Schizosaccharomyces pombe: one gene and its partners. Each later gene encodes a partner of the first gene's protein in a complex. Each region holds a gene or a part of one and is shown in the gene's direction. Other genes may lie near its edges.

The links.
Region 2: sws2 (region 1) and rsm27 share a complex: the UniProt entries of both Schizosaccharomyces pombe proteins name them as parts of the mitochondrial small ribosomal subunit.
Region 3: sws2 (region 1) and rsm23 share a complex: the UniProt entries of both Schizosaccharomyces pombe proteins name them as parts of the mitochondrial small ribosomal subunit.
Region 4: sws2 (region 1) and rsm25 share a complex: the UniProt entries of both Schizosaccharomyces pombe proteins name them as parts of the mitochondrial small ribosomal subunit.

What each region holds. Positions count from the first base shown.
Region 1 is NC_003421.2:978,659-988,336, reverse strand, and holds sws2 (mitochondrial 37S ribosomal protein uS13m), read left to right. Parts: upstream 1-3,182; 5' UTR 3,183-3,345; coding exon 3,346-3,626; exon of another isoform or gene 3,627-3,696; coding exon 3,697-3,871; 3' UTR 3,872-4,093; coding exon of another isoform or gene 4,094-6,788; 3' UTR 6,789-6,845; coding exon of another isoform or gene 6,846-7,126; 3' UTR 7,127-7,191; downstream 7,192-9,678. Other genes in the region: P-factor pheromone Map2, read left to right, coding at 1,653-2,258; vid21 (NuA4 histone acetyltransferase complex scaffold subunit Vid21/Eaf1), read right to left, coding at 4,094-6,788, 6,846-7,126, 7,209-7,217; yapsin Yps1, read left to right, coding at 8,159-9,678. UniProt on the Schizosaccharomyces pombe protein: Component of the mitochondrial ribosome (mitoribosome), a dedicated translation machinery responsible for the synthesis of mitochondrial genome-encoded proteins, including at least some of the essential transmembrane subunits of the mitochondrial respiratory chain.
Region 2 is NC_003423.3:3,067,086-3,075,262, forward strand, and holds rsm27 (mitochondrial 37S ribosomal protein mS33), read left to right. Parts: upstream 1-5,168; 5' UTR 5,169-5,308; coding exon 5,309-5,544; intron 5,545-5,609; coding exon 5,610-5,647; intron 5,648-5,700; coding exon 5,701-5,708; 3' UTR 5,709-5,902; downstream 5,903-8,177. Other genes in the region: snoRNP assembly factor Naf1, read right to left, coding at 1-412; SPOM_SPBC30D10.14 (dienelactone hydrolase family protein), read right to left, coding at 911-1,660; pyruvate dehydrogenase e1 component beta subunit Pdb1, read left to right, coding at 3,458-4,558; gpi1 (pig-Q), read right to left, coding at 5,903-7,864. UniProt on the Schizosaccharomyces pombe protein: Component of the mitochondrial ribosome (mitoribosome), a dedicated translation machinery responsible for the synthesis of mitochondrial genome-encoded proteins, including at least some of the essential transmembrane subunits of the mitochondrial respiratory chain.
Region 3 is NC_003423.3:2,063,750-2,071,204, reverse strand, and holds rsm23 (mitochondrial 37S ribosomal protein mS29), read left to right. Parts: upstream 1-3,214; 5' UTR 3,215-3,266; coding exon 3,267-4,697; 3' UTR 4,698-5,018; downstream 5,019-7,455. Other genes in the region: gef3 (RhoGEF for Cdc42/Rho3/Rho4 (Gef3)), read right to left, coding at 1-819; ribosome biogenesis protein Rrs1, read right to left, coding at 2,312-2,812; telomerase reverse transcriptase 1 protein Trt1, read left to right, coding at 5,095-5,352, 5,409-5,489, 5,561-5,679, 5,731-5,993, 6,030-6,422, 6,462-6,532, 6,572-6,841, 6,882-6,998 and 2 more. UniProt on the Schizosaccharomyces pombe protein: Component of the mitochondrial ribosome (mitoribosome), a dedicated translation machinery responsible for the synthesis of mitochondrial genome-encoded proteins, including at least some of the essential transmembrane subunits of the mitochondrial respiratory chain.
Region 4 is NC_003423.3:4,290,396-4,296,795, reverse strand, and holds rsm25 (mitochondrial 37S ribosomal protein mS23), read left to right. Parts: upstream 1-4,833; 5' UTR 4,834-5,107; coding exon 5,108-5,770; 3' UTR 5,771-5,900; downstream 5,901-6,400. Other genes in the region: PPR repeat-containing protein Ppr7, read right to left, coding at 1,223-3,199; nucleoporin Rae1, read right to left, coding at 6,324-6,400. UniProt on the Schizosaccharomyces pombe protein: Component of the mitochondrial ribosome (mitoribosome), a dedicated translation machinery responsible for the synthesis of mitochondrial genome-encoded proteins, including at least some of the essential transmembrane subunits of the mitochondrial respiratory chain.

The sequences.
Region 1 (9,678 bases):
TCTAAACGCAACCAACAACTTAAGATGGAAGAGCCAAAACATATGGATGGGCCGCGGAATAACCGCGGCCCATGCCCTGAGCAGAATAGAAAAAAAAGATTTTTTTTTTCTTTCATAAAATTAAAAAATTCAAGACAATGTATGAATAAGAACCTCTCGATCTAGCATCCAACCTATAAATGAATATCTCTGTTGCATGTTTGCTATATTGAAAATGTCGCTAAGGAGTATCGAGATCCCAGATTAGAGAAGCGTTTACCATGAGTTACAGAATCCTTTTATTACACCAATTCTTAAATCATCTCCAGTCTATAGCCGCAAGTATTGCAAACGTTGGATTTTGCGATCAATGCTTTCCATTTAACGCGCTAAAGCAATTTAACAAATACAATGGTATAGCGCGAAGTCATAATAAAGGAGTAAAATTATATTAAACAGTTTATTAGTATAATGATATGGTTATATGACTTTAGAACGAAAGGAAGCATGTTAACGCCGAAAAGAATTAAAAAAGCTGTAAAGAAGCAGCAGTTTATTCGTTATTTTCACCAATCCTTTTACTAAAACCTTTTCGAAATGTACTCTTATTTTTTGAAGGTATAATGAAAAGGTGGGATTCTCGGAACTAGCACTACTATGGTTTTAGCAAGCCCTGATTCTCATGTTCGAGGGAAAAAAAGCACTAATGGTATCAAACAATTTCCTACTATCATATTACTATCCTTTCCTTGGAAATTAAATGCTAGCAACGGCAATCCTTTGTACTTTCTCCGTGCACAATATCTAGTACACCAAATACTGGCCCACTAGTCGGAGGGGAACGGGTATTTGTTTATTCTCCTCTTTTTTGCGTGCTCCATCTCCTTTGAAGCTCTATTTTAGTTGCTTTGCAGTATCTATATCTGCTACAAGTAGCCAGAGGCGTTCTATGCCTTCAATCTGAAGTTCATTTTTTCATTCTATGGCGGTATGCTATTGGTTGAGTACACACAAAGAACAATGGATAGAGTTTTATTGTTTACATTATCAAAAAACCTTTAACCAATAAAAAAAATAGCCGCTACCAGAAAAAAGTCGCTTAAAATTAATAAGTCTTTTGATTGGTCGCTGTACATAGAAGTTCATTTTGGGTGGACGACAAAAAAATAAGCGAATATCTTCAACCAATCAGGATAAACAGCGATAAAACGAAAACGGGGAAGTCATTAAAAAATGGCGGTTAATGTCAACAATGAACAGTTTGAAAGCATAGAATTCCAGATTTGAATTGAGGGAAACGGAGCACTACAAAGATGTATAAATACAGGCATTCTGTCCCAGAAGAAAACCAGAATTCGTTCAAGTCTTCTATTTTACATATTCACTCTTTCTATTTCTTATTCTTCACTCTACAAGAACTCGCGTTGGGTGTGAATTTACATCCCTCTTGTCAACAAACCTGCTCCGTTAGCTAATTTTCTGTAAATTTGCTTCGATCTTTCTTATTCTAATCTTTTAATCCTTTTTCTTTTGGAATTTTGCCTTTTTAAACTCTCCCTTTTTTTGAATCAGTCAACAAATTATAATTTTCTTCTTTTATTTGCTAGTTCATCGCTTAAACTATCTTTCTTTTTCTAACTTATCAACGAAATTTTATTTTTTTCACATACATTATGAAGATCACCGCTGTCATTGCCCTTTTATTCTCACTTGCTGCTGCCTCACCTATTCCAGTTGCCGATCCTGGTGTGGTTTCAGTTAGCAAGTCATATGCTGATTTCCTTCGTGTTTACCAAAGTTGGAACACTTTTGCTAATCCTGATAGACCCAACTTGAAAAAGCGCGAATTCGAAGCTGCTCCCGCAAAAACTTATGCTGATTTCCTTCGTGCTTATCAAAGTTGGAACACTTTTGTTAATCCTGACAGACCCAATTTGAAAAAGCGTGAGTTTGAAGCTGCCCCAGAGAAGAGTTATGCTGATTTCCTTCGTGCTTACCATAGTTGGAACACTTTTGTTAATCCTGACAGACCCAACTTGAAAAAGCGCGAATTCGAAGCTGCTCCCGCAAAAACTTATGCTGATTTCCTTCGTGCTTACCAAAGTTGGAACACTTTTGTTAATCCTGACAGACCCAACTTGAAAAAGCGCACTGAAGAAGATGAAGAGAATGAGGAAGAGGATGAAGAATACTATCGCTTTCTTCAGTTTTATATCATGACTGTCCCAGAGAATTCCACTATTACAGATGTCAATATTACTGCCAAATTTGAGAGCTAAACTCATTTTATCTTCATATTTTTTTTATTTTCTAGTATGTTAGCCCACACATCTTTACAAAGCCATGTGAAGCAATTTTTTAAATTAATTGCTATTTTCGATCTATTATTTTACCATACGATCTGTATTCCTATTCGCAATAATATTTTTAATTTTCATCTTAGTCTTCATATTGTAAAAAAAAAAAAAAAAAAAAAAAAAAAAAAAGAAAAAACGTATAGTAGTTACAATATTACTGAAATCTACAGTACTATACTTCTTTCAGTTGCTTTGTTTTTTAAAGTTAAATAAAACATCAATTTAAAAACTGACTATTAAACCACATGATTTGCGGATTGCTTAAGTAATAATAAAAATGAACACTACCAATTGTGTTAAGCGATAAAATTAGTCATATCCCATATAAGAAGAAAGCACTGAAGTTTCAATTGAAATGCGGAAAGCTACTGCTCATTTAAAATGCCTAGGACCTGCACAAGCATAGCAATGTAAAGGAGCTGCACTTGAAATATATATGACAGTTGAGATCCGCAAAGCATTGTTAGAATATATAAAATTTTATTCCAAAACTTTTTACTGTACTTCCGCATGTACTGTTGAACATTCAACTTTGTAAGAGACAGTAATGTCGTGAATATATTTTTCAATAATAAATTTTAAACTGAGACCATTGAACGAAGGGATCATTTGAGTTCATAAATTTTAAAATTTGAACAGAAAAGGAAGGCCTTTGACGATATCTCTTCTTTATTTGTTTTTCTTCGTCTTACCTTGCCCTATTTATGGTCTTCTTAAACATCAAATTACACCTTAGATAGTAGCTCTTTAATGATTACTCAAATTGTCTTTTATTACTAGGCCCGGAGTCTGTACAATCTAACTAGTTTTCTAAAAATATGAGAGATCCAACTGTGTATTATATCTAAACACCACCACTCCACTCTTTTACAAGAAAGCCTAATACTTATATTCAGAACGGTTTTAAGCTCTCTGATTACTGATAGAGAACTGAATTACAAAACCAAATTGTCCACTTCATTATTGAGCTGGTTTCTGTCTCATCTGTTGATATCTGAGATTTTGCATCATGGTATACATACTTGGAGTGGCTGTAAACGACGATAAACCTGTGCGGTTTGCTCTACTTTCTTTTTATGGAATTGGACATGCCAAGGCTGAAGAAATATGCGCAAAATTATCATTTCACAATACGTTAAGGGTTCGAGAGCTGACAAATGTTCAATTGACAACGTTGTCGCAACTGCTATCAGGAATGACTATTGAAGGTGACTTACGGCGTCAACGGAATGCTGATATCTCAAGATTGGTGAATATCCGATGCTATCGGGGAATGAGACATGTAAACGGGTATGAAAAGATCATTTGTGAACGTAGCTGTCTTCGACAACTTTTTCAACTTAACTAATGAATATTTCAGGTTACCCGTTAATGGACAGAACACTCGGACGAATGCAAAGACTGCTAAGAAGCTAAACAAAGTCCCACGACGAGGTTATATGACACTGTCGCCCGCTTCTACAAGGCCCATCACATGGAGTTTTTGTCTACCGAGAATGGTGTCTGTCTTTCAAAAATTAAAACATATTCATTAGCTAAAATAACGTTTATGAAATCAAACTTCACTTATCATGTACACTTCGTATTACCTCGATTTGCTTGATTCTGTTAAAAAACCAACAACCGGGATACGAAAATGAAAACGTATTCTATTTTTATTGTGTGAGAGAAAAAGCTCTCGCCTCGTAATTTCCTTCTAATATACAACAGCACTCAAAAAAAATACAATAAATCGAAAAATTGCATTGAGGCGATACTTACTGTGTCCTTTCAGTAGTAGGTACAGTTTGCTTCCTTTGCTGCAACTGATGAATTTGTTCAGGTGTTAGTTTTAAAGAACTGGAAACAGCGTATGGCTGAAGCCTGGGGACCATTCTACCAGCTATAGGCGAGACACCCGCTGATGAATTGTTACTACTATTTTGTGAAGCAGCTACAGCTTGAAAGGCTGCTAGTTGCTGGTTGTGTTGTTGTGCACCAGCAGCAACAGCGGCGTTTTGCGGCCGTAGAGCCCTGTTTTGTGATTGCAATTGTGCAAAGTTTCTCTGAGCCTGTATTTGCTGTATTTGTGCCTCACGCTCAGATTTCAAACGAGAAAGTTCGAGAGGGGAAGGAACCGGCGGCAATTTTTCAGTTGAAGCTGCAGATGGTGCAATCGCTCTCTTGGTCATAGTGGGTTTTTTAGCAAACTCTCTCTTTTTAAGGATCTTTCGTATAGCTTCAAATATAGTAATGGGTCGGTAATGTCTTGATACAGTTGGCAATAAGAAGTAAGAATTATGTTTAATCAAATGGTTAGGTGTTCCTTCATCCCGTAAGGATAGATGTTGGCTAACTTTATCCGAATGTCTTAAGGATTCATCTAATTTCTGCTGAGCGAGTCTTGCATGGGAGCCAGTCAATTGGACATTGGCGGCTCTGGGATCCACTTGAATCCATCTTTCAAAACAATCCCACGCAGTCCGCTTCTCGGCAAGCGGTATGTACAAACCTGGTGGTGTTAACCTACTGGCAACAAATTCCCAATTAAAGGAATATCGTCGCAAGAGTAATAAAAGGAGTTCATCTTCTTCGGGCAACCAAGGGGCTTCTGGACGAATATCTTTACTAGAAGGCGGATACGGAGGCCGCACACTAAAGGTTCCTACTGAGGATAGCTTCTGATTATCATCCTTAATTTTATTTCCATCTAGCTGGTTCTCATCGCTTCTCGCCTTCTTTTCCATAAACGACTCAGGTGGTGATAATTCCAATTGGTTGAACAAACGTTTCCTAGAAGCCTTTGCACAGGTGGATTTAAGCTTTGTTTTGGCATATGCAAAACGTGACACAGGAGTGATCGGGTACTTTTCAGATATTTCTTCACAATATTCATTGTTTTCAGTAGGAGGACCGTACATAGGAACGTTTAAAACGCAGTTCTGAATTTGTTCGGAGTTTGTTGTCACAAATATATCATCCGAAAAAACAGCATTATAAAACTGTAAAGAATCCCTGGGAATAGAGAGCACTTTGTTGTTATTATTATCATTTAGATTAAAATGGCTCACTATTTGTTCATTAAACGTTTCCTCGTGAGAGTCTTTCTGATGTTCATTCTCTTGCATGTACGGCTTCTTATTCTTTGACAACGAAGCCGGAGTACAAACAGTACATTTATCACTAGCTTGATGGTAATCCATTACCCAATTCGCCATTCTATGAGCCAATATAATTTTCCATTTACGCTCTTGAGAAAAATCAATTGACATCCATTGCATCTCATCCAAAACATAATCCCGATGAGTTTTCAATCGTGGCATCTCGTTTTGTCTTTTGGGCTGTCTAAAGGACCAAATACCTTTTTCTTTTGCAACCGTTAAATGATGTAGTGATTGTCGTACAATTTCCTCGCGATACGCATGAGACCAGTTATCTGATAGAACATATTTATGTGCATTTTTCAACCTTAAATGTAAAGGCGACATTTCTGTTCGAAGCAGCCATGCTTCTGAGGAAAGCTCTGGTTTCACCGGTTCAGAAAATTTTGAAGGAGGAATTAAAGTTAGTGGCATAGATACAGAAAGTTCAAAAAGCGGAGCTTCAACCCCAGTTCTGTCAATTGTAGGGGATTTTTCCGATGGTAACTTATTTTCCATTTGTAATTTACTAGGCTCAACAATTTCATCTACTGGCTTCTCGTTGACATCAACCGCTACTTCCTGAACAGGAGATTCAGTGGCCTTGTCAACGGAAATGATTTGTTGTTCCGAAGGAATCTCTTGATTATTTAATAATTGTATAGTTTTTTCAATATCAATACCTGATTGTACATTCTCAACATCATTTTCAGTGACCTTGGCTTCAGGAGAATGAACTTCTTCAACTTCATCAACCTTTGGGACTTTATCTTCAATTTCCAAAACTTCTGCAACAGTGACAGGGGGAGCCGTAGGTTCCGTTGTCTCTGATACCTCTTTCTTTTTCACTTCTTTAGACTCAACTTGATCAGTCGCAACCTCTACCGGTTTGGTAACGGTCACATTTTCTTCATTCCCATCTTCCTCATGTTCCTTTTCGGTAGCTTCAACCACTCTTAATTGCTTATCGACTCCTTCTTCTTGAGAGGATTTGTTTGCAAGTTCTTCGGTAAGCTGTCGAGCAGCATACTCGCTATCTGGCGTCAAAGGGCCTTTTTCCTCTTCAGCATGAGCAGTGGTTTCCACTTCTTTTACGGGTGTTGTTGGTTCAATAGTTTCTTTCTCTTCTACGTCAATATTTTTATGTATAGTTTCAGGTGAAGGTATGGGAGATTTTGACGTTATAATTTCCTCCTCGCTAAGTTCTAGGGAAGTTTCTTTTAAAGGTGTCTCCTCTGAAACTCCTTCCAAATTATCGGGTTCTTCGGGAACTATCGGTTCTTCAACGATAGGAGTTACAGATTCTCTAGCTGAAAGATTAAAATTTCGCCCCCTTGCATGTTAGTTGTACATTTGAGGAAAATACAAAAAGTTACTCAATGAGACATACCTTTTAAAACGATACTTTTGATAAAAGTTAAACCACTCAGAAACTTGCTCTGGTAAAAGATCACTTGATGAATGAAGCCATTCTAATCCATTAGGAAACTTGCAATGCAACCAAAATAAAAGAAGTAACTTTTCATGTTTCTCTTTTGTTAACTTAATCTCTTCATTGTCTACAGAGTCGTTTTCTTCTTCTTCGTCTAGAGTAAAAAGGGAGGCAAAAGAATCTGTTATCGATAATTTTTCACCATCGACTAAAGCAATTTGACTGGTTTTGGTCTCCTTCTTTTTAATTAAAAATATTAATTAGTTATCGAAGTACAATAAAATTATCACTTTAAGGCCCGTAAGACTCGTAAAAACGTACCTGTTTCATAATCCCAATTTAAGCGGAATTACGCTGGAAAAAGCATACAAATCGTATTCTAGAAAAGACACAGTTTTGCTTTTATATTTATTGTATGATGATATAAAGAACTCAAGGATCCTGTATACTTTCAGACCTAATGTGAACGAAGTTAGTCTGATGGTGTTGAGGCCCCCCAAGGGATTTGAGCCCGCAATCAACCACCATATTAGGTGAAGTAGAAAAACAAGGAAATAGCACTCTACTAGGACACAGTTTTGAACTACAAGTACAGCAATAAGACTGTCTTTTATTTTCGTCTTTTTGTTGCTCGGAGAAATCGCTTGTTCTATTTAAAAGTTGAGACGTTACCATAAAGGTTATCGGCATATTTCAAAGCTTTAAAAACGTTTCCCTTTCAACTTAAATTATTCAAAAATACATTCAGTTGAGCTACATGCCAAACCTACTATCATATCATTCTAAAAAAACTATCGTTAAGTGATCTATTTCTCCCTTATTTTCAATTTGTATTTATTATTTTACGACGTGCTAGGAATTGTGAAAGACTCTTATTTATGATCAAGTTTTTCTAGATTTTTGCGTTGCATTTGGTTTTTACATGCATCTATTGCTCATCCCTTGAGGATTATTTCCACTTTCTGTTGTGGATTTTCTTTTCTTTATAAAGCAAGATTGCCAAATTGTTGCTCCCAACATAACAAGGGATAATAACAATTCATCGTTGCTTTCGTTAAAACATTCTTTCATCAAAAGAACTCGGCACCTGCTCTTTATTCTACTTTGCATTTTTGTTTTAGTTCCGTTTTGCATATTCTTATTTCTTCTTCTCATATTACTTTATTCTTATTCTTTATTTCTCTTTTTATCTGATAATCACCTTGGTCATTTTAATTTACCTCTATGTAAACATTCTTGCATCTATATTTTCTTCTAATTATTTAAGGATTATGAGGATTTGGATTTTAATATTTTTCTCCTTCATTAAACTTGTCTCTTCGTTACAATATACGGGAAATGGTGTTTTAGCTTTGGACTTCGTTGCGAAAACTTTTCCCAACCAGGAAAATCAATTAGAGAAGCGTGACTATACTTATTCTCCATCTGGTATCACTTCATTTCCTTTAGATTTGCAGAGTTACACTTACTACACTACTACCCTTTCGATCGGTCGTCCGAGTATTTCGTACACTGTAGCTATAGATTTGGACATGCCGTACACATGGTTGACTTACTACAATGTAATGGCGTTTAATCCAGCGTATCTTGGCATAGTGAATAGTGGTACTCAGTGGAGTACGGATGAACTGCGATACTTTCTTTGTAAAAAAGAAAGTGATTCTTGTTATTTTGGGAATGCATCTTCTAGCTTCCATTTTGTTACGAGTCCAAGCACTTTTTTTATCCGCTATGACGATAACATTACAGTTGCTGGAATTAATGTTCAGGACTCCCTTTCTTACAGTCATTATCAAGCTTTACCGGACTTCCAATTCGGCATCACATTAAAGGAGTATGTTCCCAGTTCAATGCTGCCGTACAAAGGCGTGCTAGGTTTAGCTGCCAGTACCGAAATTAATTCAATAGATTATTCGGATTCCATTTCAAGTTTTTCACCACCAACCTTTTTGGAACAACTAGTTAAAGAGGATATATTGGCATACCCTGCTTTTAGTATGTATCTGGATAATCAGGGTAATGGAAGTTTACTTTTGGGAGCCGTGGATACGTCAAAGTACCAGGGACAGTTTGTCGCTTTGAAGCAGACTAAGCTTACGCATTACGCCGTTTCCATTTACTCTGTGCAGTTCTTAAACTCTACGTTCTTTTCTAATTATTCTATCATCACTGATGCATACTTTCAAACTCGTGAAACTTATATTTATTTGCCTGCCGAATTGGCTTACAGTGTGATGGATAATGCTGGTGCCTACTTATCCGAAGGCTATTTCGCATTAAACTGTGATGAAATTGATTTGGAAGCCGCTCTGATATTTCAATTTGGATGTAATTCAACTATCAAGGTACCGATATCGTTGCTAGTGATTGGGCAAGTTTCAAACATATGTCTTTTAGGTATTCGACCTTCGACGGATAGTGAGATTGTATTAGGTTTGTTATTTTTTCGAAACGCCTACACATTTTATCATCAAAGTCAAAAAATGATTGCCATTGGGCAAGCCTTTTATAACGCAACATCCAACTTGTCCGCCATCGTGGATCAACACATTCCTGGTGCTCTAACTTGTTCGCAATATCCTACGAGTGTGGCATCTACTCAATTGGTTCAGACTAGTCACTTCACATCCACATCGTTGTCTGCTGTGAATATTTCGGAAAGCGTCGTTTATTCCTATACAAGTAGTAGTAGTATGCCCTCTTCAGCTATTCCGTCCTTCAACATCTCTTTGATTTCTCAGAATGCGGTTGCAAATGCTGGAAATTCGTTTTCTCCGTTAAGTGCTATGGT
Region 2 (8,177 bases), on another chromosome or scaffold:
AACCTGATGATGGAACAACACAATCCTTTGGGTTAGCCAATGCAACATCCAATAAGTCGATTTTGTTCTCATCTTGATAGTTTTCCTTGTGTTGGTTTATATCTTCTGTTGAAGAAAATAAAATTTCATTATCTTTTTGCTTAATTTCGCCAGAATTCGCTGAAGAAATATTCTGAAAGTTAACTATGTTCGGTAGATTATTTTCAGTATTAGTATTCAAGTTGTTTTTATCGATTGGGTCGCCCTGTGGGGTATTGATATTATCGATAGATAAATTTGAAGGAATTTGATCTTCTTTTACAAAATTTGATGAACTTGCGTTTGTAGACAGTTGCTTCGATTTTTCAACTTTCGATTCATCATCATAAATCAACGAAAGCCCTGGTATTTTACAAGGGAGATGCGGATACATAAAAACGCCTTTCGAAAAAGTTTTCGGTGCTTTCAATTACGGGATTTGGCAGAATATACTGAGACTAAGTTAGCAGGACGTAAATAATAAAATTTGATTTATATACAATAAAAACATTATATTCATAAATAGAAATAAAACTAAATATTAGAATTAAAACTAATACAAAATGAATTCATCTCTATGCAACATATCATAGGCAGTGAAGCGTAGAGTTACTCGCAAAAAAATAACAGTGGCTAAAATTTTTAACTGATTTTAAAAGCTATTTTGTTCACGATCCTAAAAAACATATAAATTTGTAGGAAACAGTACTAAGGCATCTAGGTTGAGCAAACCTCAAAATATGTTACAGCCTAAGTGAATATTGGAAGCTTCACCTGTTTGTATTGTAAAGCGTACAGCTACTGTATCGAATAGTTTAGGTCATTAGTTAATAATTGGATTAAAAAAAATCAATAGCGATAACAAATCATGACTATCTAACAAACATCAAACTCACATTAAAGATTGGAAAAATGAAGAAACCTTTTGGTAGCCTTCATCAAAGCGCTTCCTTTGTTCGGGGTTGGAAAGGTCTGCGCGAGCAGCCATCCAACCATGGAACATGTCGCTGAATGTTTCGAAGGAAGACTTGGCATAAGCGGGGTTTGTCTTGAACGCTTCTTCCCATTCTTTGATGATTTTAGCATCTTCGTCTTTAGAGCAAAGAAACAATACAGGACAATGAACATTGGCTGCATCAGCGCTATCAGGGAAGGAAGGGTGACAGCTAGCAATTCCAACGAAATCAATTGTAGCGGGATAAGTGACCAAAACTTTAGCACCCCAACAAAATCCATAAGTGCCAATAGTAACATTTGGTCCATGGTTAGCGCGCACAGCTTCTACAACTTTAGCAAGTTTCGGCCAGTGCAAATTAGGAGAAATTCTAGTAGAAAAAAAATCATTGCATAACTTTTGGTCCTCTGGCGTCTTAGGGGGTAAAGCAGTAACTGGCAACGGCTTTCCCTCTAAGAAATCGGGTAAGTAGACGGTAAAGCCATCATCTGCCAATTTATCAGCACCCTCTTTAATTTGATCAGAGAGACCAAATATATCCATGAAACCAATCAAAACACGGGTATTGGAAGTAGATCCAACAACATAGGTGGTCAATCCTCCAAAGTTTTCAATTTCTTTACCCTTAAAGGTATAGGACTTGTTAGAAGCTGCGGCACCACGACTTGTTGGACAGCAAGAGGCCATTTTCTTAAATTAATCAATGGTTCGTACAAAAAGTAACTGTACAAGTTTATTAAAAAACCACAATAAAATGGTAAGTTGGGTGAAATTTCGTCAGTACTGTTGGCTGTATATATATATCATATCATACACATTATGTCAAAAATCGGCATTGCATATATTATAACGATATTCTCTATATTTCCATGGAAAATAATATTATGTATCAAATAAACACTGACTATAATTAATAAAATATACATCCTTTTTAATTGCAAAATGTATCGCGAGTATTAAAATTGAAAGCGGATTATTTTCTTTATTAATGCTTACACATAAACACTGTGTATCCATGATATCTTACGGCCGCATGCTTTAGTCCTTCATAAGTGTTATCCAAAAAAAAAAGAAAAAAAAATACAGCGTATGACTATTCATAACAAGTATACAAAGTAAACTTTTTTTCCTCTATCATCAAACATATATTCTGAGAAGTTTGTGAGTCGGTTTGTTTAGATGAGAAATAATAAACTTGCAGTTATGACACAATACCTACCAAAGATGCTATACACGGGACATACATTTATTAGTTGGGATTGCAATCATTAATTATCGTTTAAAAGTCTACAACAGTTGGTTTGCATCTATTGTAAAAAGAGGATTGTAGCATGCCAAATTATGAATTTACGGTCTCATTGAACGTCAAAGGCGGAAAAAACCAGGAAAACTTTAAGTAGTTAAGCTATGTACTTTTGTCGAAAAGTTTATGTCTGAACATTTATCTCTAAAAACGCCTTACCTTTGTTAAAGTCTTTAGAAAATGTGAAAAACTGCAAATTAAATATTGGTCTGTAGCTTATAAAACTATCTTCAATCTTTAATAATGCAAGAAATAATTTTTTGACTTCGCGTACCAAAGAAACCCTTATAACGCGTGTACTAAATATAACTTTTAAATAATACTGTCAATAAAAAGTCCGAAGTTAAAAAAGGAACTTTCTTTCATCAATTTCCAACTATAACTATTCAATCTGTTGTTGGTTTAATCATCAGAAACCATACATTGGTTCAAGGCTTGTTTATACTCAATGCTGTTGACCATTAAATAAAAAAAATTCCATGTCAAGCTAACGAAATTGTTTACTTTTATTTTCGCTAATGAATTATGTAGTTTATCATAATACAAAGCAGCTTTTATCTCTACATGGCTAGTACAAATCATATGGTGATGAATTTACTGTTATGAAAATAAAGTAATGCTTTAAGTATATTTGAGGGCTTCAAAATTCATAGTCACTGATGCACCGGAATCAATAATCCGTGCAATTATGCATCAATTTGAACCACAACTTTAGGCTGTTTTAACTTCTCGTTCATCACCTTTTTGTCGGTGTTTATGCTCTGCTTTTCGGATATCGCCCTTAGGAGTTCAAACGATCTATTGCGGCAATCAATTTTGAGCACCGTATCTAGTGATAACAAATTATCTTTATCGGTTAAGCACGTTATTGCAGCTGCTTCAGTATGTACACATTTCACTATTTAGCAAAAATAAGATGAAACAAATGATACTACTAAGAGGTTATAATCATATCAGACTGTTTAACCATTCTTTTGTCATTTGCAATAAACACAAAATTTATAAAAGTGGTAGTATTCTTGTTAATCATCTACGTACTGTATTTAATTTGTTGTACCATAAGCCAACTCGAAATATTTTACCATCACACTGTTCTACTTTGCCCACTACACATATACAACAACACAGCGGGATAGCCCTAATTTTTAACGAAGTTAAAAAGAAGTTTGAGGGAATTTAAAATGATTCGTCTTCAAAAGTTTGGTGAAATTGTTGGGACCAGTCGTTCTTGGAAACTTCTTAGTTCAACCATCGCAAAGCGCTATTCTTCTTCTTCCAATGGAGTGAAGGAAATGACCGTTCGTGATGCTTTGAACAGTGCAATGGAAGAAGAAATGAAACGTGACGATCGTGTCTTCTTGATTGGCGAAGAGGTTGCGCAATACAATGGTGCTTATAAGATATCTAGAGGTTTATTAGACAAGTTTGGTCCTAAACGTGTTATCGACACTCCCATTACTGAAATGGGTTTTACTGGTTTGGCAACAGGTGCTGCTTTTGCTGGTTTACGTCCTATTTGTGAGTTTATGACTTTCAATTTTTCCATGCAGGCTATCGATCATATCGTTAACTCGGCCGCCAGAACCCTGTACATGTCTGGTGGTATTCAGGCTTGTCCTATTGTCTTCCGTGGACCTAATGGGCCTGCCGCTGCAGTTGCTGCTCAGCATTCTCAACACTTTGCTCCATGGTATGGTAGTATCCCTGGTCTTAAAGTAGTTTCTCCTTACTCAGCAGAAGATGCTCGTGGTTTGTTGAAGGCTGCTATTCGTGATCCTAATCCCGTTGTTGTACTTGAAAACGAAATTCTTTATGGTAAAACCTTTCCAATTTCGAAAGAAGCGTTGAGCGAGGACTTTGTGCTTCCCTTTGGCCTTGCTAAGGTGGAGCGCCCCGGTAAAGATATCACCATCGTTGGTGAGTCTATTTCTGTTGTTACTGCTTTAGAAGCAGCTGACAAGCTCAAGGCTGACTATGGTGTTGAAGCTGAAGTTATAAACTTGCGTAGTATTCGTCCTTTAGACATCAATACTATCGCGGCCAGTGTTAAGAAGACAAATCGTATTGTGACTGTTGACCAGGCATATAGTCAACATGGTATTGGTAGTGAAATTGCTGCTCAAATTATGGAGTCTGACGCATTTGATTATCTTGATGCTCCTGTTGAACGTGTAAGTATGGCAGATGTTCCCATGCCTTATAGTCATCCTGTTGAGGCTGCTTCTGTCCCAAATGCCGATGTTGTTGTTGCTGCTGCTAAAAAATGCTTGTATATTAAATAACAAGCTCAATTGTTGAGTCATCTGTTTAATAAAACCCGCTCTTTTCCCTTTTCCGAATAGTTGATATCTACGTATTTCGCTTTCTATTATTTTTACATTATCTACAAAGTGTAAATATCTAAGATGCTTGTCTTTAATGACTCAGATTATTGTGTGTGGGTCTTAGATGGTTTTAATTTCTTTGCAATTATTTGCGAAGATATGATTTTTCCAACCATCTTTCCAATTGGTTATCCGGGTTGGTATATCTACCTTTCAGGATAGTTTTGCTTCGTTTATCCTTAATATATGTTATATTGTATATATTACTAAATTCGTGTAAGTTTTTTAACGTAATCTGAAAGCCAGTGAACTTCAATTATATTATATTACAGCTAATGGAAATAATACGCTATATGAATATGTTCAACTATTTGGTGTCTATTATACTCTACTTAACTACTCGTAACCTCTTAAAGCGTAGAATATTAAGTACTTGATCCCACTAAACCTATTTACAGGTCTATCTTTAGTCAATGCACCAAAATGTTTCCATGTGGGGTTGATGAACTACTTATCCCACATCATCCGCTGTAGTATATCTAAGTAGACTTGCGCTAATAATACTTACAATAACAGAATTTCAGAATCCTTGCAGATGAAATCATAGTAGTGTCTTTAGCCTTATTATTGTTGTTTTTATTTCGTTTTGCCTTTAACTTTAAGCAACCACATTCCCTAGGAGCCTTCCCTAATTTTTGGTATAAAATCATGGCTAGCAAAGCAATCCTGGAAGAATTAAATATTCTCTCATCAAAAATATTTGGCACTCAGTATAAATCAAACAACTCGAGAACGGGTCGCAAATTTGTAGTACAAGAGCTGAAGGGAGCAAAACTGAAGAGCTACTATCCCGCAACTATCAATTATCGTCAATTAAGGACCCTTTTAAATGATAAAACATTTCCCGATAGTGATGAGGAATTGCGAATGGAAATCAGGAAAGGGTATGTTAGTTGTTAATTGAGATTGAATGTTTCTTTCACAAGAAATTAGCTAATTAAAATACTAGGAGAATACGCCAAGGAAAAGGAGCCTCCAAGTCAAAAAGTATGTAAAGCTTACTATAAAACCGAATTAGGAACCTTCTAACTCCTGTTTAGAAAAATAAATAATTGAAAATTGTGCCTTTCTAATACTTTGCGGTTACATTTCGCACATTTTCTTTCCAATTATTATCAAATGGGTAACGGCTAAACAGCTTTGAACGAAACTGATAAACTAAGTTTAATTATAAAAATTTTGTTGTTTCATAAACAAAAAATATTATATATCAACTGTGTGCAACAATACTTAACATTTTGATCAGTCGTAAGGAAATTTTTTCTGATGAAAAAGAAGATCTCGCAGTTTTCTAATAGATATTCTTTTGGTCGGAAGCATAGCGTACTGGATATTGTAGAGTTGCTCAGCAGGTATCGCTGGAACTGGGCAACCTACGAGCAAACTAATCAAAGTAGTTTTTGAAAGGTAATGCGAAATTAACCTACGCGCCAGTTTCCGATAATGCTCAAACATGGATCCAAGAGACATCGGTTTGGAGTTGCAATTGAGATATAGCGTTGCGAAGCCGTCTTGTTTTAATGGTTCAAAGCTGACTATCTCAAAATTCAGCCCACTTGGTATTCTATAAGGATCTTTAATTCGTAACATTGTAACAAATAATGGGAAGTGATTCAGGAAGGCTAACATAGTTTCACAGATTGCCAAGCATGTCATCACGGATACTCGTGTTAATGCAAATGCTGCATAGAAAACATATATTGTAGGTAAGAAGAATATTAGTACCGTAAAAAGGATTGTTCCTAAAAGTAGTTGGTCTAAATCATACTCATATGAGTCGATTCTATTTCGTAAAACGTTTCTTTTTTTTCCTCGAAAAAGCTGCAGCAAACTATAAATTACACGTAGCTGCCAATTATACAAACGTGATGAAGCCAAATAAAGCAAATGTATATGAATAGTCATAACACTTAAAAAATCAGAAATTAAAGCGATCATTAAACTAGCACCCCCAAACCCAGAAATAGCGACAACTTGAACCAAAAATGGAGTCCAAGGCAAACAATGCAAAAGAAAATTACTCCATACGTCAATAACCCATACAGAAAGCTTCATAATAAACTTGCAAATGTCGTTGTTTAGTTTTAATCCAGCAGGAGTATCCACGAGCCATATAACCATAGAACGAACGTTTTTTATCGCATACTCGAATGTGATATTTTCTATTAATTTTACCACCAGATGAAGATTCTCTAAAATAAATGAACTCATTGTAATCCCAAAGATCATGTCATTCGCAACCAACCAAAGGTTGTTATAGAATCTAATATATTCTTTGTAATCCTCTATCGCAACGCGCTTGCTTTTCCGAAAAACCCATAATTTCATATATTGTACAGGCCAAAAACACGCTTGTTGCAACCTCAAATCTACTTGACGAGCAGAAACGAAAATATCCATCATATTATAAGATAAAGGAATCGGTCGGTAATTAATCGCCAAGAGTATAACCTCATTAATTATCCTCAATAATATGATAAAGTAAGCAAACAGCGAATTAAAAAAATAAAAGGTTGATGACGAGACACGATCAAAAAGTCGAAAAACATATGAATTTTTTTTGTTATTATTTTCATGTGTTAACATGCGAACCTCGAAGGATTGATTAAGAAGCTCAATTAAGCCTGAGCGTAGACTCCTTTTCCAGCTATTTTCTTTGCGTCGGGGAAAGTGCAATTTCAATTTTTTTAACAGTATTTGCTGGTGTTGCATGCTTTCGTATTCAGGGTTTGACTTGTTAATAAAACTATCTTTTAACAATAAAAGCGATAGAGGTTCAAGGGAAAGAAATTGCATTTTTCTTGGCTGCGGAGGATGATAATAAATTATATGCAGATTTATTTTTAAAGGCGTACTAGCCGAATCGAAAACTCGGGGATGAGAAAGCTCAGTCGATTGCTGCACTTTGATCCAACAATCAATTTCATATTTGTCACCCGGCAAAATATCGGCAGAGCAATTAAACGTGCCTAATATACACAGAGATTTAATATCTACTGATTGATCTTGATTTTTGCAATAATCAACTAAAAAATTAGCGAAGGATTGATAACTAGTAATTGTTGTCACAACGATAAGATCGTTGGTAGAGTACTTCCAACCAACTAAGTAACCAGAATCGGTATAAGAGATCGTACTTTTGGGCCAATATATCCGTTTCACTTCAATTGGAGCCGAAGCTATATTCATGGTTGTGGTAGACATTTGAAATATAATATTGAATGCTCTGAAGTCAATTCCGAAGTGTTTAATAAAAAAGACAAACAAGTAATAACAGACTTTAGAAGCATACAAAAAACTTTTGTTAAGAAAAATATAACAGGAGATGATACTGCTCTCTCCGGTGTTTAGAACTCAAGTTGTAAAATCAAAAACTTCCTCGACGTAAAAGCTGTTCCCTTGCAGAAATGCCACCGCTAACTGACGTTGAGTTACGAGCTTCGGATTCAGCGATTCGTTCTAAAAGAATGAAAATAAAAAATCCTAAAACGGTAAACAGTAGTACGTATGAAGGAAC
Region 3 (7,455 bases), on another chromosome or scaffold:
ATCTCGTCTCCTTTTTAACTCATTCATTCTTTGGCTAGCGATCTCAGATTTGTGACAAGCTTCCCCGAGCAACACATAGTCGGAAATGATACCCAGTGAAGCAGATCGGTAAAGCTGATTTAGTAAAAGCGGATACTTCAGAAAACGCTGCACAGGCTTTACTAAAAAACTATCTAAATTCCAAGAGTTACTTTCAATTTTTGCCATGCTATCACATTCCTGCAAATATTCTGAGATTGATGAGTTCTTCATCCATTTTTCCACCTTTTTGCCAATGTTTTCTTGAATCACGCAGTATCGACCATAGACAGCAGATAGCTTGGGCAACCATGAAAGAAATAGTTGTGCAACGGAAGGCTTAGGCTTCAAACAGGCATCTTGATCATCCAAAATGTAATTGATTTCGTCGTTCAAGGATTTGTGCATTTCGATTTCGAAAAGTGATGCTTGCTTGCACAATACCAGAAAAATCTCAAACACATCTTTCCATTCGCTTTTTTTTACTCGGTCCGATAATCGGTCAGCATAGTACCGTTGAGCTACATGCAGATCATGAACGTAAGCGGCTTCTGAATCACGAAATTCCTCCAGAACAGAAATAATGGCTTTTTGTTTACTCCTCATAGCAATCGTCGATTCTGTGGTAGTGCTACAACTAGTTCTTGTCGACCTTGTTTCAGTTTCATGTTGACTTAACGCTATGGTCCAGTCAGGCCGTAATTTCAAAGTATCTTCTAAAGTGTGTGTCGAATTGGCTATAGGCAAGCTATCTGAAACAACTCTTTTTCCACGGCTTTGGAACATCCTTGGGTTACTCATCTTTAATCGGCTGTTGATTCAATGAGTTATCTACTCAAACGCGGGCACTTAGGAGTTCGTAGCGCGTTTGATTAGATCTCACAAAGCTAAAACAGAGTAGCAAGGCCGTTGATGAGTCGATTTCTTCTTTAAATACAATGCTAATTTAATCCAAAGAGTAACGCTTTTATCAATGAAATAGTTGAATAGCTGTTTTCTTTGTTGTTGCGGACGGCAAGAATAACCAGGTTACCTTAGTGGATATAGGAAAGAATTCCGCTTTTGAAAGAATGACTACAATGATATTGTACTTTATCAACATAAGCAAAGTTATTTGTACATAAATTATTTTCTTTTCTTATTTTTTAAAACTAACTAGTGGTCTTTGGGGATGCATTAAGTATTTGCTTAAAATATCGAACGTAAACAATACTTAGAAAATTAATGATATACACCATAAAATCGACGAAGTAGCCAACCGAGAAACAAATGATAATATTGGTAAGCTTTTTTTTGGATTAATGAGTTTTTCTTTAATTTTTTTTCTATTTATTTGCATTTTTTAAATTTTTTTTATTATTACTACTAAAAGCATCAATCTCATATCAAAATTAATTATTATGTTAAATATTTAAATAAACAAGTCAGTATTAGAAAACTTATTATACACTCGGTTTAAAAATGATTAGAAATTGAAGTATGGCTTGCACATTTATTTATATAATCTACTAAAAATTTATGTTTACCACTCAAAAGGATATGTTTTGATTGAGTATATCATTCATAGAAAATGCAAAAACCAATTTTAGAACATAAACAATTATATTTTTAAAAATTCACAGCTATATTTGCATCAGCCGGGAGTCGAACCCGGAGCTAGAGCATGGGAAGCTCCAATGTTACCGCTACACCACTAATGCATTCAGATATTTAGACTGATGTTGCAATCTATATAGTAATTTAGAAAGGATTGTTATTGTTGAGTCTGATGAAATTCTGTTTGTTGAACATTTCAAAAATGTTGCATATCAGTTAGCCATGAGTTGGGCTCTTAATATGATGTTCCAGCCTTTTAAGACTGCATACAGAAAATAATAATTAACTACGATATGGTCGCATTTTAACTGTATGAAACTTTTTTTACAAGAGGTTATTAGAAAATTCAATTGGAGGAAATCCCACAGTGTATCAAAACAGTTGCTGTTAAAACTTACTTTACACTTAACTCGTAAACATTCAACATTTTAACGTTCGATTTTCGAGTAGCAGCTTCAAAAAAGTGCTCGTTAATTTTTAACACATAAAAATGTGTAAACAAAGCAGCCACATAACCGATGTCTTACATATTCCTTCTGTACCCGTTGATATCCCAATTGAAGAAGGGATTTTAGTTGTAGCAAACAAAAACAAACGATAATAACAAAATAAAAATGATATTATACCACTTAACCCATGAATAGCTAAATTATAGTAAATTTTTAAATTAAGAAAAATTTTTTTTAAGCAGGACCAATTAATGGCGACGAGAGCGCTTGATTTTTTTTGAGGTATTTCTCACTTGCTTGGAAGTAAGCTTCTTTTCCTTTTCTCCCTCTTCAACAAGCCATTGTGTCTCTAATTCCTTATTTTTACCCTTATAACCCCATTTTGGTACCCATTCACCAGATGCTTCATCAAACACCAACCTGCCTTCCCGCTTCTTAGGAGCAATACCTTTAATACGAGCAAACCGTTGCCATTTGGTTTCGGGCTTGGGTTTAGGTAAAGGTTTAGCACGAGGAAGAGGTGTAACAGTTTCAGGAAGCTGTAAAAGGACGCCATCTGATGTACGCTCCTTAGGCAAGGAAATCATTTTGTTCACCAATTGTTGAACGTTATCTCTACTGAGAGAAAAAAGGAATGATTCTTTCTCTGAACCGCTAAGCTTAGTTTCATCTAAGGGAGAAATATCAAATGCAGCCATATTTCCCAAATCGAAATCTAGAGGAATGGAGTTTTCTATTTGTGCAGACATGATTAACGAAATAGGGACAAGGAAAAAAAAAGGGTTGATAATACAATTAAGTGACAAAAAGTTCTCAAAAAAGACTGCAAAATTGATTTGTTAAAAAGTTGGTTCAGGATACGAAATTCTTCTTTCAAACTCCAAAATTTTTATCAAACTACTGAATATATAAGAGAAAAAGCTCTCTTTCAGTTCAGCAATCTACTGTTTTTACTTTCTTTATGACAAACGAAGAAAGTAAGAAAACTTTTACGATTCTTTAGTTTTTGCAAAAGTAGAGACACTTATTAGCAATACGTTAGTTCTCTTTATTACTGAACGCCAAATCTACCCTATTAAAAAATATTAGCAATGCGCTAAGAGCTCAGTAAATACTTACCATCCGGAAGCAGTCAGTCTCTTCATTTACGTGAGAACAGATATGTATACTTAAGATTTACGAGAAAAAAATACCTCTAACAAAATGCTACCGAAGTTTAGAAGCAGAAGTAGTATTATTAAGAATACAGAGAGAATTTCTAATATCCTGTCCGGTGGAAAACTGACTGTTTGCGGTAGTAAACTGGGAGGACTCTACACTTTTGAAAAATGCACATTTAACAAATACTATTCATCCTCACAATACCAGCATACGGGTAGACCTGTTGGAGGAAATATACATTCAAGCTCTAACCAGCAGCGTCAAAAAAATTCGGAAGCGCCAAGAATTAATGAAATTCCCCCCTCAACTTCGTCAGTAGAGAAATCGACGACTATTCCCAATAGTAGCGTTGTATTGGATCATCTCTTAAATGAAGGAGAAAATACTTTAGAAGAGGTGAAGCCCTCTGAAATTCATCCGCATATGTCTTGGTCCAGCAAGTCTGAAGGTAAGATGTTTAAAATCCCCGAGGAATTGCTTAATAAACTTAATGGATTTGGGGCTTTAGAAAAACAAAAAAAAAGTTTCTCCTTTTTTACCAGTGCTTCCCTTTTGCACAGGAAAATTACAACTGAATTAGTGAATGTACTGCAGCGCTCCAAAGACCAGGGTACGAAGGACGGACGTTTTCTTCTTGATGGTGCTCCAGGTTCAGGAAGAAGTATTGCTCTCATACAAGCTGAACTTTTCGCCTTATCACAACCTAATTTTATAGTCTTGCCAGTCCATAACTGCGAAGGATGGGTAAATTCAACGAGTAGTTATGGTTATGATGAGCAACTCAAGTTGTGGGTGCAACCAGATTTAATTAAGGGATTTCTAACTTCTGTTATGAAAACTAATTCTGATAAACTTAAGAAGCTAAAGACCTTTGAAAGTCATGAGTTGCTTCAGAACGAATGCATTCCTGCTGGTACCGATTTACTTTCCTTTCTTCATAAGCTAATTGCTTCCTCGAACGCTCCTAAATCTCTGGAAATATTTTTACAAGAACTCAATAACAATACCAAGTCAAATTCCAATATGAAGGTGTTATTAGTGATCGATAATATTTCTATTTTATCGGTCGTTACCAAGTATAAGGACAAAAAGAACAACTTCCTTCCCCCTAAAGACTTTTACTTTATTAATTTACTTTTCAAATATATTTCGGGTTCGCTTACTTTTAATCGTGGTACTGTTTTAGCTGCTACTTCTAGCCAACCGCGTGTTTCTACCCCGTCATTGGATATAGCTCTTGGAGTAGCTCACAGAAATCCTTACAAATCTTCTGATGAGACTATATTAGATTCATTACAGTCCGTGCATATTCTTAACATGGAGCCTTACACTTTAGATGAGTCACGTCGCATGATGGAGTATTTGGTATCATCCAACGTTTGCCTTGAAAAGGTTGATAATTATTTGCAAAATCATGTCCTTAGTGGTGGTAATCCGCGAAAGTTTTTTGATGCTTGCACACGTCTAGCATGATTGAGATATTCAAAAATTTCTATCCACTACAACTCCTTTAACGCGGTTTTATTTTTCTATTTTCTATTCTCATGTTGTTCCAAATATGTATCATCTCGTATTAGGCTTTTTTCCGTTTTACTCCTGGAATCGTACCTTTTTCACTATTCCCCCTAATGAATAATCTAAATTAGTTTCGCTTATAATTGATAGTAGTAGAAAGATTGGTGATTCTACTCGTGTAATGTTATTAGTTTAAAGATACTTTGCAAAACATTTATTAGCTATCATTATATAAAAAAAATCCTATAATTATAAATATTAATCAATATTTGCGGTCACTATTTATTTAAAACGTTATGATCAGTAGGACACTTTGCATATATATAGTTATGCTTAATGGTTACTTGTAACTTGCATGACCGAACACCATACCCCCAAAAGCAGGATTCTTCGCTTTCTAGAGAATCAATATGTATACCTATGTACCTTAAATGATTATGTACAACTTGTTTTGAGAGGGTCGCCGGCAAGCTCGTATAGCAATATATGCGAACGCTTGAGAAGCGATGTACAAACGTCCTTTTCTATTTTTCTTCATTCGACTGTAGTCGGCTTCGACAGTAAGCCAGATGAAGGTGTTCAATTTTCTTCTCCAAAATGCTCACAGTCAGAGGTATATATATTTTTGTTTTGATTTTTTTCTATTCGGGATAGCTAATATATGGGCAGCTAATAGCGAATGTTGTAAAACAGATGTTCGATGAAAGTTTTGAGCGTCGAAGGAATCTACTGATGAAAGGGTTTTCCATGGTAAGGTATTCTAATTGTGAAATATTTACCTGCAATTACTGTTTCAAAGAGATTGTATTTAACCGATAAAGAATCATGAAGATTTTCGAGCCATGCATGTAAACGGAGTACAAAATGATCTCGTTTCTACTTTTCCTAATTACCTTATATCTATACTTGAGTCAAAAAATTGGCAACTTTTGTTAGAAATGTAAATACCGGTTAAGATGTTGCGCACTTTGAACAAGACTGACAAGTATAGTATCGGCAGTGATGCCATGCATTACTTATTATCCAAAGGAAGTATTTTTGAGGCTCTTCCAAATGACAATTACCTTCAGATTTCTGGCATACCACTTTTTAAAAATAATGTGTTTGAGGAAACTGTGTCAAAAAAAAGAAAGCGAACCATTGAAACATCCATTACTCAAAATAAAAGCGCCCGCAAAGAAGTTTCCTGGAATAGCATTTCAATTAGTAGGTTTAGCATTTTTTACAGGTCATCCTATAAGAAGTTTAAGCAAGGTAACTAATACTGTTATCCTTCATAACTAATTTTAGATCTATATTTTAACTTACACTCTATTTGTGATCGGAACACAGTACACATGTGGCTTCAATGGATTTTTCCAAGGCAATTTGGACTTATAAACGCATTTCAAGTGAAGCAATTGCACAAAGTGATTCCACTGGTATCACAGAGTACAGTTGTGCCCAAACGTCTCCTAAAGGTATACCCTTTAATTGAACAAACAGCAAAGCGACTCCATCGTATTTCTCTATCAAAAGTTTACAACCATTATTGCCCATATATTGACACCCACGATGATGAAAAAATCCTTAGTTATTCCTTAAAGCCGAACCAGGTGTTTGCGTTTCTTCGATCCATTCTTGTTCGAGTGTTTCCTAAATTAATCTGGGGTAACCAAAGGATATTTGAGATAATATTAAAAGGTATTGTATAAAATTTATTACCACTAACGATTTTACCAGACCTCGAAACTTTCTTGAAATTATCGAGATACGAGTCTTTTAGTTTACATTATTTAATGAGTAACATAAAGGTAATATGCCAAATTTTTTTACCATTAATTAACAATCAGATTTCAGAAATTGAATGGCTAGTCCTTGGAAAAAGGTCAAATGCGAAAATGTGCTTAAGTGATTTTGAGAAACGCAAGCAAATATTTGCGGAATTCATCTACTGGCTATACAATTCGTTTATAATACCTATTTTACAATCTTTTTTTTATATCACTGAATCAAGTGATTTACGAAATCGAACTGTTTATTTTAGAAAAGATATTTGGAAACTCTTGTGCCGACCCTTTATTACATCAATGAAAATGGAAGCGTTTGAAAAAATAAACGAGGTATTTTAAAGTATTTTTTGCAAAAAGCTAATATTTTCAGAACAATGTTAGGATGGATACTCAGAAAACTACTTTGCCTCCAGCAGTTATTCGTCTATTACCTAAGAAGAATACCTTTCGTCTCATTACGAATTTAAGAAAAAGATTCTTAATAAAGGTATTAATTTTTGGTCATCAATGTACTTTACTTCTAATCTATTATTAGCAGATGGGTTCAAACAAAAAAATGTTAGTCAGTACGAACCAAACTTTACGACCTGTGGCATCGATACTGAAACATTTAATCAATGAAGAAAGTAGTGGTATTCCATTTAACTTGGAGGTTTACATGAAGCTTCTTACTTTTAAGAAGGATCTTCTTAAGCACCGAATGTTTGGGTAATTATATAATGCGCGATTCCTCATTATTAATTTTGCAGGCGTAAGAAGTATTTTGTACGGATAGATATAAAATCCTGTTATGATCGAATAAAGCAAGATTTGATGTTTCGGATTGTTAAAAAGAAACTCAAGGATCCCGAATTTGTAATTCGAAAGTATGCAACCATACATGCAACAAGTGACCGAGCTACAAAAAACTTTGTTAGTGAGGCGTTTTCCTATTGTAAGTTTAT
Region 4 (6,400 bases), on another chromosome or scaffold:
GGTATCTATGTATATAGACGGATAGTTACCCATGATTATCAATAAACGGATCTTAGCTAGTATTCCAACATATGATCTATAGTGATACGCAACGTAGTATATCATAGCGTAGTGTAGTATTGCTGACAGCTGATGATGGCTACTCAAATTCGGTATCAGTTTTAACGATACGTAGGATCGCAGTGAGTTTTCCTTGTGATCATATTATATTTTAGTACACAGATACTATTAGGAACAACTGTTATAGAGGTTTCTAATATTGGGGTTATATTGTACTTTTAATTAAAATAGCTTATAACTGAACTAGGGAGCGAATTAACTTGTAGCTCTATTCATAATCTTTTGTAGTATCAGATATCAGCTGGTAACTTTTTAATTAAGCTGACAGCTACTCTTAACCAAAACAACTGATATTTACTAGTATGCGAAAGTATGGCTCAGTGGTATTCAAAGTATTGTAGCACAGCTCAGTGTATTGTTGCTGATTACTAAATTTGATTTTTTAACACCATCAAGGCGGCATCTTTATAATTCATTTTCAACTCGTATATACCGTGGCAGTAACAATTATGATTCAATTACGATAAAAACAATACTTCACATCATGAAGCCTTACTCGTAGTATCCATTTATTAATGTAATAATTTGTACATGATTTGAGGCTGCTAATATCCTGTCATAACAAATACTTCCATCGTGGCTGAATAATAATAGTTGGCTACCTACGGTTAAAATACAATACACTGGACAACTCGTAGTAGCGGTCTCATAGAAACTACTGAAAAAGGGAAGCAACTAAACATAAAACTCTAGAATTTTTAATTTTATGAAGTATTCCAAATGTTTGAGATGATGTTTGCATACAAATATGTTTAGCTAAAACTAGAAAGCAAACCAACTTCACCAAATGAATTGGACAAAATTATGTAACGTGATGATAAAAATGATGATTTTATTTTCATAACTTGCATCAAAAAGGATGGTTTCGAGAAAGGGATTCAAAAAAGTTGGTTTGAGTTTCGTCGGAACATCTTTGTTGAACAAAGAAAAAGTAGCGGAAAAAAAAAGAGCAGAATGAGTGAATGAACGGATCATTTGGCAAATTATCATGAAATCAACAACCAAGGAAATGTTGTACATCAAGGTGTTGTAAGAGAGTGGAGAAATTAATAATAAAAGTTAATAATTCACAAAAGCTTGAACTTTTAAAAACATTACGCAGTTAAAGTGCAGAATTTGTTTTTTTTTCGGTCTCTGATTCTTTAAGGAGAGGATAACTTTTGAAATACGATTTGGGAATGAGTCGAATCAGAGAGCGAGTTGTATCATTTCGTACTGCGGAAGAACAAATAAGTTTGGAATACACTTTAACGGCTCTAGAATAAAGCTTCTGCTGAATTAGGGCAACCAGCCAATAGTTCCATATTCGAACGTCAAAGTTTTTTTGCAACTTGGATATAGCTTTCATGGTAATTAAGGTACGCTTAAAATCTCGATGTTTGACAAAAAAAACGAGTTGGGACGCCAAAACCGAGACCTCAAAATCGACATTCAGCCTTATACGTCCCGTTAGGAGAGACACAGCACGAAATTGAAGGTCGTACGACGAATGAGGGCAATTGAGAATACCATTCAAGAGGATTATAAGAGACTTTCTCTGAAAGAGGGAATGCTTGCAATTTAGTTGATTCTCTAATAAAAAAAGCAAAGCCATGGCATCGTTCAGCCAGTAACAAATCGATTTCGCTAAAACCGTATTGGTGGTTGGAGACAACTTTAAGCTTCCCGGCTTAATTCCAGATATATTACAAGGAGGTGAACTTTGCGTTATACAAATCAAATCTTTGTTGCCCAAATTCTTCATAATGTTACCAGAATAGTAGGTATTTATAACGTATAAAATTAAATCGTGATAATGAAGCTGACTTGCGGCTTGTAACATTTGAGACACTAAACGTTCGTTTCGAATATACGGGTCAATTTTCCAGAAAAATGCAAAAGCAGAAGAGTATTGACGGTTAACTAGTAGAGCTCGCATGGAAAAAGAATAAACAACTTGAAGATACGCCAATGAAGGTCGCCAAACAGAATGCTGCCAAACTGAAATCAGACTCAGTATGTCTTTGTAGTTACCTTTTTCTGATAATGGTTTAAGAAATGCCGAAACTATTCGATGGTCGAGAAGATAACTATTGTATTCTTCCAGCTGAACAATATCGCGCATTAAAACCCAATTACGGTTTTTTGAGAGTAATTGTACAAATTTTATAAATGCATCTTTTGGCAATGGTCCCATGCCTGCACGAGACCACTGTTTATAAAGAAAATGAGCAGTATCAACTTGGTTATCACGATATGCTATGGAAAACAAAAACGCATAAACGTGTTGCAAAGGAAGCTGTTGATTTTGGAATCTCAAAGGAGCAAATATATGACCTAATGACTCTGAGAAGCAGAAGCGTTTTAAATTAGAGACTGTAGAGGAATCCATCCCAAGATGGGAATTATGGAAATGATACACCAAACACAATTCAACGTACAGACTTTTGAGATTTTGGGGTAACTTAATGTTACTCCACCAGTTTTCTCGAAAATTTTGATATAAGATTGCTTGTTCAGTCAAATTGCATGAACGGAATCGTTCTAAAAAACGGAGGCAGAGTTCAACAAGAAAATCTTCTTTTTTATTTTTTTTGGCGACATTAATCCAAATGGGAGTTATTTTTGCCAACGTTTCAACCTCCAGTTTTGAATACACAATGAGGCAAAGATCAGGATTTTTATCAAAACATTCGGCAAACCGTTTTTTCACGTAAATTAGGAATGGGTTTTTATGTTTGTCAAAAGGCACAGTAACCTTTTCAGTTTTATTATCAGCATAGACTTCACTGACTTTTCGGATAATGTACATTAAATCGTTTTCACTAAGAACAGCACCTGCGCTGGAAGGCAAACACTTGTGAAATAATTGATTTTCTGCAAAACTTGAGAGAAATGCTTCGTTTGAAGCAGATTTCGAGTATTTATGTAATTCATCAGAAGACGCTTGTCGAGGCCTGCACCCAGTTACCTTTTCATGATGAACGCTAAGCTGGTTTAGTGACCGCACAACAAGACGATTTGGGAAAGGGATTTTAAATTCCCTTAAACGTAAATGTTTTGTCCATGCAAAAAGTAGTGGAGATACACAATTTCGCATCTCTTAGCCTGGCAAGCAGACAAAAGTCGTCCCCAAAACGAGAGGCGTGGAAACGAAAAGACGCGTTATGAAGAAAAGAAACGATAATCAAATTAAAAGGATCACTATTAATGAGAGAAGGGGGTACTTGATAAAAAAAGAAAACGAGAACTCGATACGAGATGATGCATATACTTCCGTTCCCTTTCTATATGATGCGATAATTCAAACATTAAACTGTGCGAAAAGGCTCAATAATGCATCTAAACATTTCATCCAAGGTTTCCAAAAAACAGAAGGTGGTATAAATACAGCTAACTGAGCAAACCTTCCAACGTTGCGAAGTTGGGTTCTAAGCAAAACCTAAGATTGCTATTTCCTCATTAACAGGCAGCGTTAGTGAATTAACGGAAACCATCGCTATAGTTTATTTACGTTATTTTGTTATAATAGCTCGTTATTGTGTAAACATGGAAAGAACATTCATGAGTAAAAAAGAGGTCCCTTAATATAATTAAATGCAGAATATCCCTCTAAACTATTAAACTATCATTCATCGATCCTCTTAAGAATCGCTAATGAATAACGATCAATCGGCCATCATCATATATAGGAATGGCATTGAATGCAACCAGCATTTAGGCACGTTTGTTGACTCATTAGTATTTAATCAGCATTTACAATATCATCGAATACACTTTCGTCAAAGAACACAAGTGTAGTCTATTTACCTTACTTCTTCGTTATAAGCTACAGATTAACCTTACCTAGGTTATATAACACTCATCATCCAGAAGCGAATATCGTATTCTAGCATTGAGATTGCCAGCTAGCAGGTAAAATCAAATACGGAGTATAAATATGACTGCGTTATAAGTGAAGAAATGAAAATAACTGCTAAAAATGTATGAGCAGGCAAGAATTCAAGTAGTTGATGTCCATTCATAATAATACTGTACGATCAATGGCTTTAAATATTTGCAGCACTTCATTTTCACTTCAGAACATGCTAGGTGTAGCGGCATTTGCTGCGCTAATTTACTCAGTCAGTTTATGACAAAATCAAATTAGCAAATACGCATACAGCTTCACAAATACAGTACAGCCATTTAATTTGCTTTACGAAACATATAATTGATTTTGTCTAATTAATCTTAAAATTTTTTTGGAGTTTTTTGAACCATTGTTATTAATAATTCTAACGGCTGCCGGTAAATATTTAATGAAATCAGTGAAAATTAAAAGTATAAAAAAAAAAAAGTTTATTCCATAACAAAAAATTTTTAAGTATTAAAAAATTTTTAAGCAGTTTAACTTGCTTTCCTATGGCGTTAACGATTGATAAAAAAATATAAAAAAATAAAGGCAATAAACTCTATATACCTTTAGCAATTATAAAAAAAATATCTAAAAAATAATAGGGACTTTCAATCCATAAAATTAATTTAGATGAACAATCGCTTAGTTTAAATTCCGAATTTACAAACAAGCCATATCTTAGCAAAAAAAAGGCAATAGATGTGTTTAAATTTATAAATAACTATTTCATTAATAGTGTTCGTATCCTTGTGTGTTCTGAAATAAATATTCATAATATCTTACCATTAGGTTATACTCAGTAGCTACTAAGATGAGGCACACTAGTACCGTCAGCTAACACTAGCTTGGCCAGCCCAATTCCTCTTGGAAGCCATTTTCACCAAAAAAGTTGGTTTCTTGCGCTTATAATTCACTTTTTTAGCAGACTATCCATATAAGCGATTGTTTATTACCTCAAGTCATACTCTCCATTATTTATAGCGCCGTGGATGTGTTTTGCATAATTAACCCATCTCAATCATTATTCAATCCTTACTTCCATTTTCACGTTTCTATTACTGATTATTTTACTAATATACTATTTAATAACTTTTTCAGGAGGAAGATCCAATGCCGAAATTTAATGCAAATGGTTTGCTACGCAGCTTTGCAGCTGAAATGAAAAAGCCATGGACAGCAGAGTCTTTATGGTACGAAACGGTTGCTAAACATCCCCCAACCTTTCAATATGCTAGACGTATTGTACCATTGTACGATCCAAATAAGGTAAAATCCCGTGGTAAACGGTTACGAAAATCAATGTATCAGCCTCAGGAAATTCAATGGCCAGAAGATAAACTCCGTAAAAGGTTTTATCGAGATCATCCTTGGGAACTAGCAAGGCCTCAAATCATTGCAGAAAATGACGGTAATGATCAGCAATATTGTGATTGGAGTCACATGGATCAACCGCGCAAAGCATTATCTGGCGAGAGTGTAGTGCAAAGAACTTTATGGCTGATTGAAAACTCTAACATGCCTGTAGAAAATGCTTATGATCAAGCAAGAAAGGAATTTTATCACCTACGCGCTGAACAAGAAATTCAGCAACGCGTTGCCCATGATCAGGCTCAAGCATTGGGTGCTGTATTTACAAAATCTGATCTGGAGTTGGGCTATGAAATGGATCAAAATGCTTTAAATTCTTGGTTTGATAATGCTTCACAATACGCTGAGGCTAATCGTACAAAGTTCACAGACCCGAGTGTAGATATCTCTAAGACGACTCAGTAGTATTTAAATTCACAGCTGATATATCATATTGTCTCCTCAAAAATTGATTTTTGTTTTGTTTTTTTTTTTTTCAGAATTTTCTTAGTACTATCCCCTTTCAAAAATAAAACAGATATTTTTCATCTCTTTATGTCTTCAAATTAAAACAATCTATCAGAACACATTAAATTTCTACCATCTATTTGAATACATATATATATATTATAAATATTATTCAAAGCTATAGCAAGCTTTTCAGATGACACTGCCGTTTAGCCAGCTAGCGAACTTTCGCTCCAAACTTTTAAAAGTGCTTTAAAAAAAGTTCATCATTTATTGAGCAGCCAACATAGATAAGAAGATGATAGCGTCTATACCCATAACACTTTTTGTCAGGAAAGGAAAAATTTTTCTAATATTAAACGATTGCCAGTAATTGATTTTAGTCATGAATCACGAAATGCCACTTTTTTTCCCAAACAAAAAGTTAAGATACATATCAAAAAAACCAAACTCATGCCTCAACAGGATTGGTCACCATCTCACCTATGTAGACTCTAAAAATTACCATCATTTACCTTCCTTTCTTAGGTCGAGGTTTTATTTCGTCTTGCGGAACAGGGTGGAGCATGATTTTATTGGGCAATTGCG